Linked DNA regions of Ovis aries. The protein of the gene in region 2 interacts with the protein of the main gene of each other region in a biochemical or structural test. Links are inferred from orthologs where the notes say so. Each region holds a gene or a part of one and is shown on either strand. Other genes may lie near its edges.

Region 1 (3,649 bases), on a different chromosome or scaffold from region 2:
AATCCAGAATTCTTTCCGCTGTACTGTATTGATTATTGATACGTAAATCCACAAATTCTAAAAGCCACCCAGTTTGCATGAAAGACACTGTATTCTCTGACAGAATGTTCAAGGTACATAAGAGATGCTCTGAGGAGGGGAAATGAATCTCAGTTCTCTCTCTCTTCCTGGGGACAGTAAGGAGAACAACACTTCACCTCTGATAGTCTTCCAAAGCCATTCCCTCTTTGAATGCTGGATAGAAAGGAACAGAGTAAGGACACTTCTTGTGCAGGTGAGCCAAGATGAGGGCCCCTACTCTGGGGTGGAGCTCCCAGATCCCAGATGCCACGACCGCGATGGGGAATGCTGCTTCGTGATGGGAGGCCACTTCCTCCTCCCCTTGTTTCTGGGAGCACAGAGAGGGGAGAATTTAATTTCAAGAAAGCCTTAAAGGCTAGGCACCAGCCTCTTCTTCCCATACCTTTGGCAACAAGGTTTCTCACCACAAATTTCTCTGCCAGTTTGTACTGGACAAAGTCCAGGGCCTGTGGGTTAAGTGTGACAGACACGGAGCGCCCACCAGACTGGACAGCTTTTCCAGAAAGTAGGCTGTGGATCTTGTCAAAGATCTCCTTCAGCTTCGAGCCTGGGACGACAGAGATAGAGTCAGTGATACGATATGACTGCAGTCAATCTATTCTTTTCATCACTGCAATAACAAAGCCTCTGTATAAACCCAGCCCTACAGAAGTTCAGAGCCTAAAGCCAAAATACAGATGCAGAAAAATATATGACAATCAAATACAGGTTGTGGAGGATGTGAAAGTACATAGGGTGTGGTATTATTTTGAAGGAATTTATCATTGGTAGAATGAACTAATTCTGAAACCGACACATCAGAGAGATCAATAGTATAAAAATAGGTGCTGAATTGTTCCAGATGCTACGGGTATGGCTGATGTCCCTAAAGGAGTCACTTGTAACTCCGGGAAAACCTTCTAAAGAATCTCCAATTCACAGGGGCTTTCCCTCCTTCTCTTGGACCTACCTTCCTCCATAGAAGCTATTATTACATTCATATTATAGATCCTGTGTGCCCCACCTTCTACACTGGCTAGTTAGATCAGGATGAGTTGAGCTGAGCTGATCAGCCAGTTGACTGAGTCAGTTCCCTGAAGTGGCCAGTCCTGTGACACACACATATGTAAGCAGTGGTGCTGTCATGCGGACCAAAGAACAGCCGTCTACAAAAGGAGAATGAAGTGGGCAGAGGGAAGCCCAAGAGAAGAGAGAAAAGGGTCCTGACATTTCTGGCTCCTCAGATCCAGCCCCACTCCTGCCGTAGAAAACTGATTTATCTTTAGGACAAACCCCTCACTCTACCTATTCCTCCTTCCTTTCCCTTTTTTTGGTTTAAGCAGATATGAATTAGTTTCTATTATTTAAAATTGATGTTTGAATGAATACAGCATCTCCAATTTACCTGCCAAGTTCCTAATACCCTGTACCAAGTTCATAATCATTTAAAGAAATGTTTAAAAATCTCAGAAATATCCTCCCCAGACCACTGATTCAGTTTCATTGAAAAAACAGGGAAGAGGGGTGGCACATTTCTTAGGAATTAAGAGAAAAAGGAAGAAATCAAGAGTTAAATAATGAGATGTCATAGAAATTTCAAGGCCAACAATCCCCTGAAAACAGAAGCAGAGACTCTAACCTGAGATATTAAAATATATATGTTTCCATCAAATTTACTCAGCTCACATTCCTGCTAACCTATAACCCTACTATTTCTTTACTGATGGTTTCAGAGGGCCCCACTGGCCAAGTCCCCATCCAGCCCCTCTCCCTGTGCCCCTCCAATTAGGAAAATCAGATCCCAGCCCGGTGCCTGACATGGCCTCCCACATTCCGTATGCCACAATGGCACCATATCTGTCTTTAAATTCTGCTCCACATTTAACTACTCGTGGACATGCACCTCTGAAGAGGCAGGAATTAGGTCACCTCTTTCTCAGTCACTCCACACTTACTGAGCACTAACTCTGCAGAATGTCTGTGTCTGACAGGGCTGTAAGCTCTCACAGAGCTTATGATACTGATGGAAGCAAAGGGACACAGTTGTGAAATAGGCAGGAAAATCAAGAACCGCAAAACCAGAGCCTAATTAGATACAGACAATGACCCAGAGGAAGCAGTCATGGGGAGGACTCCCGGGTTCAGTTAAGGTGACTGAGTAGATAAGGTGCTTCTACTGGTTACTTAGAGCAAACCGGAAAAAAGGTGGGCGAGAGGAGGACGATGAGAGGCCAGCTGGGAACACTAAACCTGAGGAAGCTGAGAGATACCTAGGCAGAGCTGCCCTGCAGGTAGCTGGAGCAAGGTAACCTGAAGCTCAGAGGAAAGGAATGACCCGGAGACTGAGCTGGGTGTCATGTGTGCAGAGGTGAAGTTTGAAGCCAGGGGGTCTTAGAATGAGAACTGCAGGGTGAAAGCACATCCCCAGGACACACCTACCACCCAGGTGGGGGCAGGAGACTGAGGAGCCCACAAAAGAGAAAGAGAGGGAGGAGGAGAAGCCGGAAATTAATGTTACCTCAGAAGCCACAGGACTAGAAGTGATAGAGAAGGGAACAGTCAACAGAGCCAAAGGGTAACATGAAGATTAGAAAAGACTGAGAAAACACAAAATCAAAAGAAACAGGTTTTAGAATGTGAGTGACAAGCATGTTTAAAGGGAAAGGAGCGTGTAAAGAAAGTCATTTTGTAGAAAACAGAAGAGCTCTCTCTTGACGGAGATAGAAGGGGATGATAACGAGGCTCCTGAGGCTCATTTAGGGCCGAGGTGGAAGGGGAAGTGTGGGCTGGAAGGGTACTGCATTCTTTGAAACAGGATGGTTTCAAAGCAGGTAAATACAGCTGTGTATTACTGCAGCGGGTGGGTTGGGGGGTTGAGGGGAATCCTGAGGATCTTACACCTGATGTCTCAGTTTTCCAGACGAAGGAGGCATCAGGGGTGCCTGTGGTCAACTGAGGGGTAAAGACCGAGGACGAACCTGAGCAGACCAGAGAAAGTGTGGGACGACTGTCTGGTCAACCTTGCCCCTCAATGCCATGGCTATAAAGGAAATGGCACTTTCAATTCTAGAAAGTGATACATATTTACTTATTTAGACCTTGCTTTGTTCCAGAAGGAATTTCAGGCAGCAAAGTGATATGTAAGTTCAGTCACAGAGCCTCTCAAAGGCAAGAAGTGCAACTTTCCACGCTTTCTAGGTAACAAGTTAATCAAGGGAACCTGGATGGAGGTTAAGTCAGAGCAGCTTCCCAGCTGCACAAGCTCCCCAGCCATGTGGAGGCTTCTACATCTGAGCTCTGTGAAAATGAACCTCTGTTTCTAAAGAAGAAGAGGGGTCTTTCCCTCGTGTGGTTCTTCCTCTCTAAATTTCAGTCTCTCGAGAGACTGAGTAGGCATTCTCAGGGTTCTCATGTATTAACAAGCAGGTTTTGAGTCTGGAAAAGCTAACGTTGTAGGACATAAGCGAAGAATGCGGGTCACATCCTAGGCTCCCTAAGGGGTGCCTTCCCCAGTAACTTCCAATCGTAGCTAAGAGTCTTCCTAAATAATTTGCTACTAATACATAACTTATTTAAAAAGAAAAGAGTC
Region 2 (3,749 bases):
TCCTAGTCCTGAACAAGGTGTTTTAGATCTGACTGATCATCTATTTTCTGCCTCTCTAAAGTACAAAGATGTTGTGGGGAAATGACATACAAAACAATTTTATGAAAAATTTAAAAATTTATACAACTAGAGAACAAATTCAGTCAATCCTTATGTATTGAGTATCCAGCTTCAAAAACTACCAGTTATATGCCCAGTCATGTTTTACATATATCAGTCCTATCCACTTCTTCCCTAACGTATTTTTTGAAGCAAATTGCAGACATTCTATTTAATATTAAAATATAATTTTTGAGACACTTCACTATTTTTTAATTTAAAAAGTCTTTTATTTTTGAACACCAAAAACATTTTGTAATGGAGTGTAGCCAATTAACAAGGTTGTGATAGCTTCAGGTGAACAGTGAAGGACCTCAGCCATACATTACATGTAGAACACTGTGCATGTTAAATGGCAGTGGGAAAACAATGGAATTGTGAAAGCCTACAGAAGGAAAGAGATATTTAATGGAGCCTGGAAAAACAGCTTATTAGGCAAAGAAGAACAGTCTAGAAATGACGACGAATACATGAAAAATGAAAGAGGGGGTCTCTTATTATAGTAAATGTGTTACATTCAGTATAACTGGAACAAGGATGTAAAGAATAGGATGGAAGAAGGAAAGATTTGGTTAGAGAGGTAGATGTATGTAAAGGTGGACAGGTTGAACTGGGGTGAGATATGAAGAGAAGACAAGAAGATATGCACTGTTTTCAGTTTACTTTCAGAAATAAGGTCAAAGGGAGTGGTGCTGTTCAAAATGAGAGCTGCTAACAGGTCACTCAGTTCTTACAAGACAAGCCCACGTGTGAGTAGCTGTCAGGAATAAATACTCCTTGCTTTGTTCCTGTCTTTTCTCTGATTTTAAGTCAATGAATTTTATTAAACTGCAGGAGCTGTCTTTTAGGTTTACATTGCAAATATTGTCGTTGTTTAGTTGCCAAGTCCGGTCCGTCTCCTTTGTGATCCGATTGACTGTAGCCTGCCAGGCTCCTCTGTCCCTGGGATTTCTCAAGCAAGAGCATTGTAGCCAGAGGATCTGCTCAACCCAGAGATCAAACCCTCATCTCCTGCACTGGTAGGTGGATTCTTCACCACGGAGCCACCTGGGAATTATCCTGCTTAAAATATCTTGGTTCATGCTTGCCAAAACCTTGTGCTTATCTTATTTACTCTCCTCAACTTTTCTCCAATTTCCACCTTACACAAGGGTCACTTCTTTTCTAGCAACTTGTGTGATTCTATGTGCCTTGAGGAGCCGGACCTTAATTCAAAACCATTAAACAGAATATTGTACAGACACCTGTCTTTTGTTGGCACAAAATCTGCCCTACCCTCCCTGTTCATCATCACTCGTTTCCCTGTTCCCTTCCTTCATTCCGCTTGTAGTTCTTTTTCATACCCTTCAGCATTTCATATTACAGTAACGCTACACATAACATGGCATATCTTTCAGCGAACATAGTAAATTTCCTAATTAACTTCGTTTGCTCTTCGGTTTTACTCCGATAGTGAAACGAGATATTAACAGATGAAACTTGGATCAGGTGATCCTCCTCATCCAGTCTTAGCGATAAACACCTGAAGGTAGTGAGAAGCTCATTAAGGTTAAAATATTTGCCTCTTTCTGCCTCAAATAGGGGCTTGCTCCTCGTTCCTAGCCTCTCAATTGCCTGTGATGAAGGGCGAGAGAAGGAAAAAATTGAAAATGGGCTCTTTTCCCCCTTTAGGGCTTCTCTTGTGGCTCAGACGGTAATGAGTGTGTCTGCAAAGAGGGAGACCCCGGTTTGAGTCCTGGGTTGGGAAGATCTCCTGGAGAAGGGAATGGCAACCCACACGAACGCCCTAAATCTCAGGATGTCTTCGCCCATTCACCCTGGGGATGGGACCTATTTATGGAGTCAGATCAGAGTCCTTTGGGCTGAGAAACAGTCACCAACTGGGCAACGATCACTCACTTGGAGCAGACACCATGAGAAGCTCGGATAGGTCCGGGTACATGCGGTCTTCTTGCAACTGACGGTCGATGAGCCGCCCCGCATTTTCCAAAGCTTCCTGCAGGGCTGCCGCCGACGTGGAGGCCGGCATCGCCAACCCCAGCAAAGAAGACGGCATATCGAAAACCGAAGACAACAGCAACCGGAGAAAGTCAAAAAGCAAGGAGAAATAAGACAAAACCCAAGAAGCTAGCTCAGCCCCAAAGCTTAGAGCGCGCGCGCCAAACGAGCGCCTCGGCGCCAGTGCATGACGCACTTCCGGTTCATCGGGTGGGGAATTTGAAGCTTGCATTTAATTTGGCAGCTGGGAAGGGGAACTTGATAGAGGTGGGGGTGGACGTTAGGGGTGGAGCTAAGTGAGAGGGAGGTGGCTGTTTGGGGAGGCGGGGGGAAGTCGGTGTTGTCTTGGAGGAAGGGAGAGACGGAGGTGGAAGGGAAAAGGGGTGGGGCCAAGGGAAGGGGAGGGACGGGACGGGGGTCTGTAGGGGTGGAGAGGAAGGAGGGGTGGAGGGGTCGGAGGGGTGGAGGGGCCGAGTGGGTGGGAGCCGGTTACTGCGGGTACTGCGCAGACTTGCTCGGGTTCTGGTGAGTTCAGCGCGCGCTTGGATCCGGGTGCCTCGAGCTTCGGGTAGCGGGAATCCGAAACAGCACCTATTTGAGTTTCGTGTCAATTTGGTTGGTGGTCCAAGTAACTTCGGACTTCCCTGGTGGCTCAGACGGTAAAAGTGTCTGCCTATTATGAGGGTTCGATCCCTGGGTTGGGAAGATCCCCTGGAGAAGGAAATGGCAACCCACTCCGGTACACTTGCCTGGAAAATCTCGTGAACCGAGGAGCCTGATAGGCTACAGTCCATGGGGTCGCAAAGAGTCGGACACGGCTGAGCAACTTCACTACCAAGTAACTTCTGAGAGTGGATAGGAATTGGTAACCGTTAGAAAAAGTTTACCCATAAACCAAAACTTCTCTACATTTCTAATGGGCTTCAGTGTAAATCAGGCTTTCTAGTTCCGTGTCCGGAGAAGGCCATGGCACCCCACTCCATTACTCTTGCCTGGAAAATCCCATGGACGGAGGAGCCTGGTAGGCTGCAGTCCATGGGATCGCTGAGGGTCGGACACGCCTGAGCAACTTCCCTTTCACTTTTCACTTTCATGCATTGGAAAAGGCAATGGCAACCCACTCCAGCTTTCTTGCCTGGAGAATCCCAGGGATGGGGGAGCCTGCTAGGCTGCCGTCTATGGGGTCGCAAAGTCGGACACGACTGAAGCGACTTAGCAGCAGCAGCTTCCCCTCTGCAATGAGAAATAAAGCAAGGCATCAGATCTCTGTACCCAGTGAAGATTTCGTAAACATAAATTTTCACGGTAACGTACCACAAAATCAACTGGTAGCGACACGGAACTGCTGCTGCTAAGTCACTTCAGTCGTGTCCGACTCCGTGCGACCCCATAGACGGCAGCCCACCAGGCTCCCCCGTCCCTGGGATTCTCCAGGCAAGAAAGCTGGAGTGGGTTGCCATTGCCTTTTCCAATGCATGAAAGTGAAAAGTGAAAGGGAAGTTGCTCAGGCGTGTCCGACTCCTAGCGACCCCATGGACTGCAGCCTACCAGGCTCCTCCATCCATGGGATTTGCCAGGCAAGAGTACTGGAGTGGGTTGCCATTGCCTTCTCCAAGAGGGGAAGCAGATGAGTCTAATTCACTGTTTCATCC

Evidence for each region.
Region 1: the proteins of NUP155 (region 2) and GLE1 form a complex in vitro, tested with the Homo sapiens proteins (2 studies listed by BioGRID). The link is inferred for Ovis aries from reciprocal best matches to the Homo sapiens genes NUP155 and GLE1.

Annotation. Positions count from the first base shown.
Region 1 is NC_056056.1:7,817,936-7,821,584, forward strand, and holds part of GLE1 (mRNA export factor GLE1), read right to left. Parts: intron 629-3,649; coding exon 486-628; intron 389-485; coding exon 198-388; intron 1-197. UniProt on the Homo sapiens protein: Required for the export of mRNAs containing poly(A) tails from the nucleus into the cytoplasm. May be involved in the terminal step of the mRNA transport through the nuclear pore complex (NPC).
Region 2 is NC_056069.1:37,133,810-37,137,558, reverse strand, and holds the start of NUP155 (nuclear pore complex protein Nup155), read right to left. Parts: upstream 2,283-3,749; 5' UTR 2,156-2,282; coding exon 1,999-2,155; intron 1-1,998.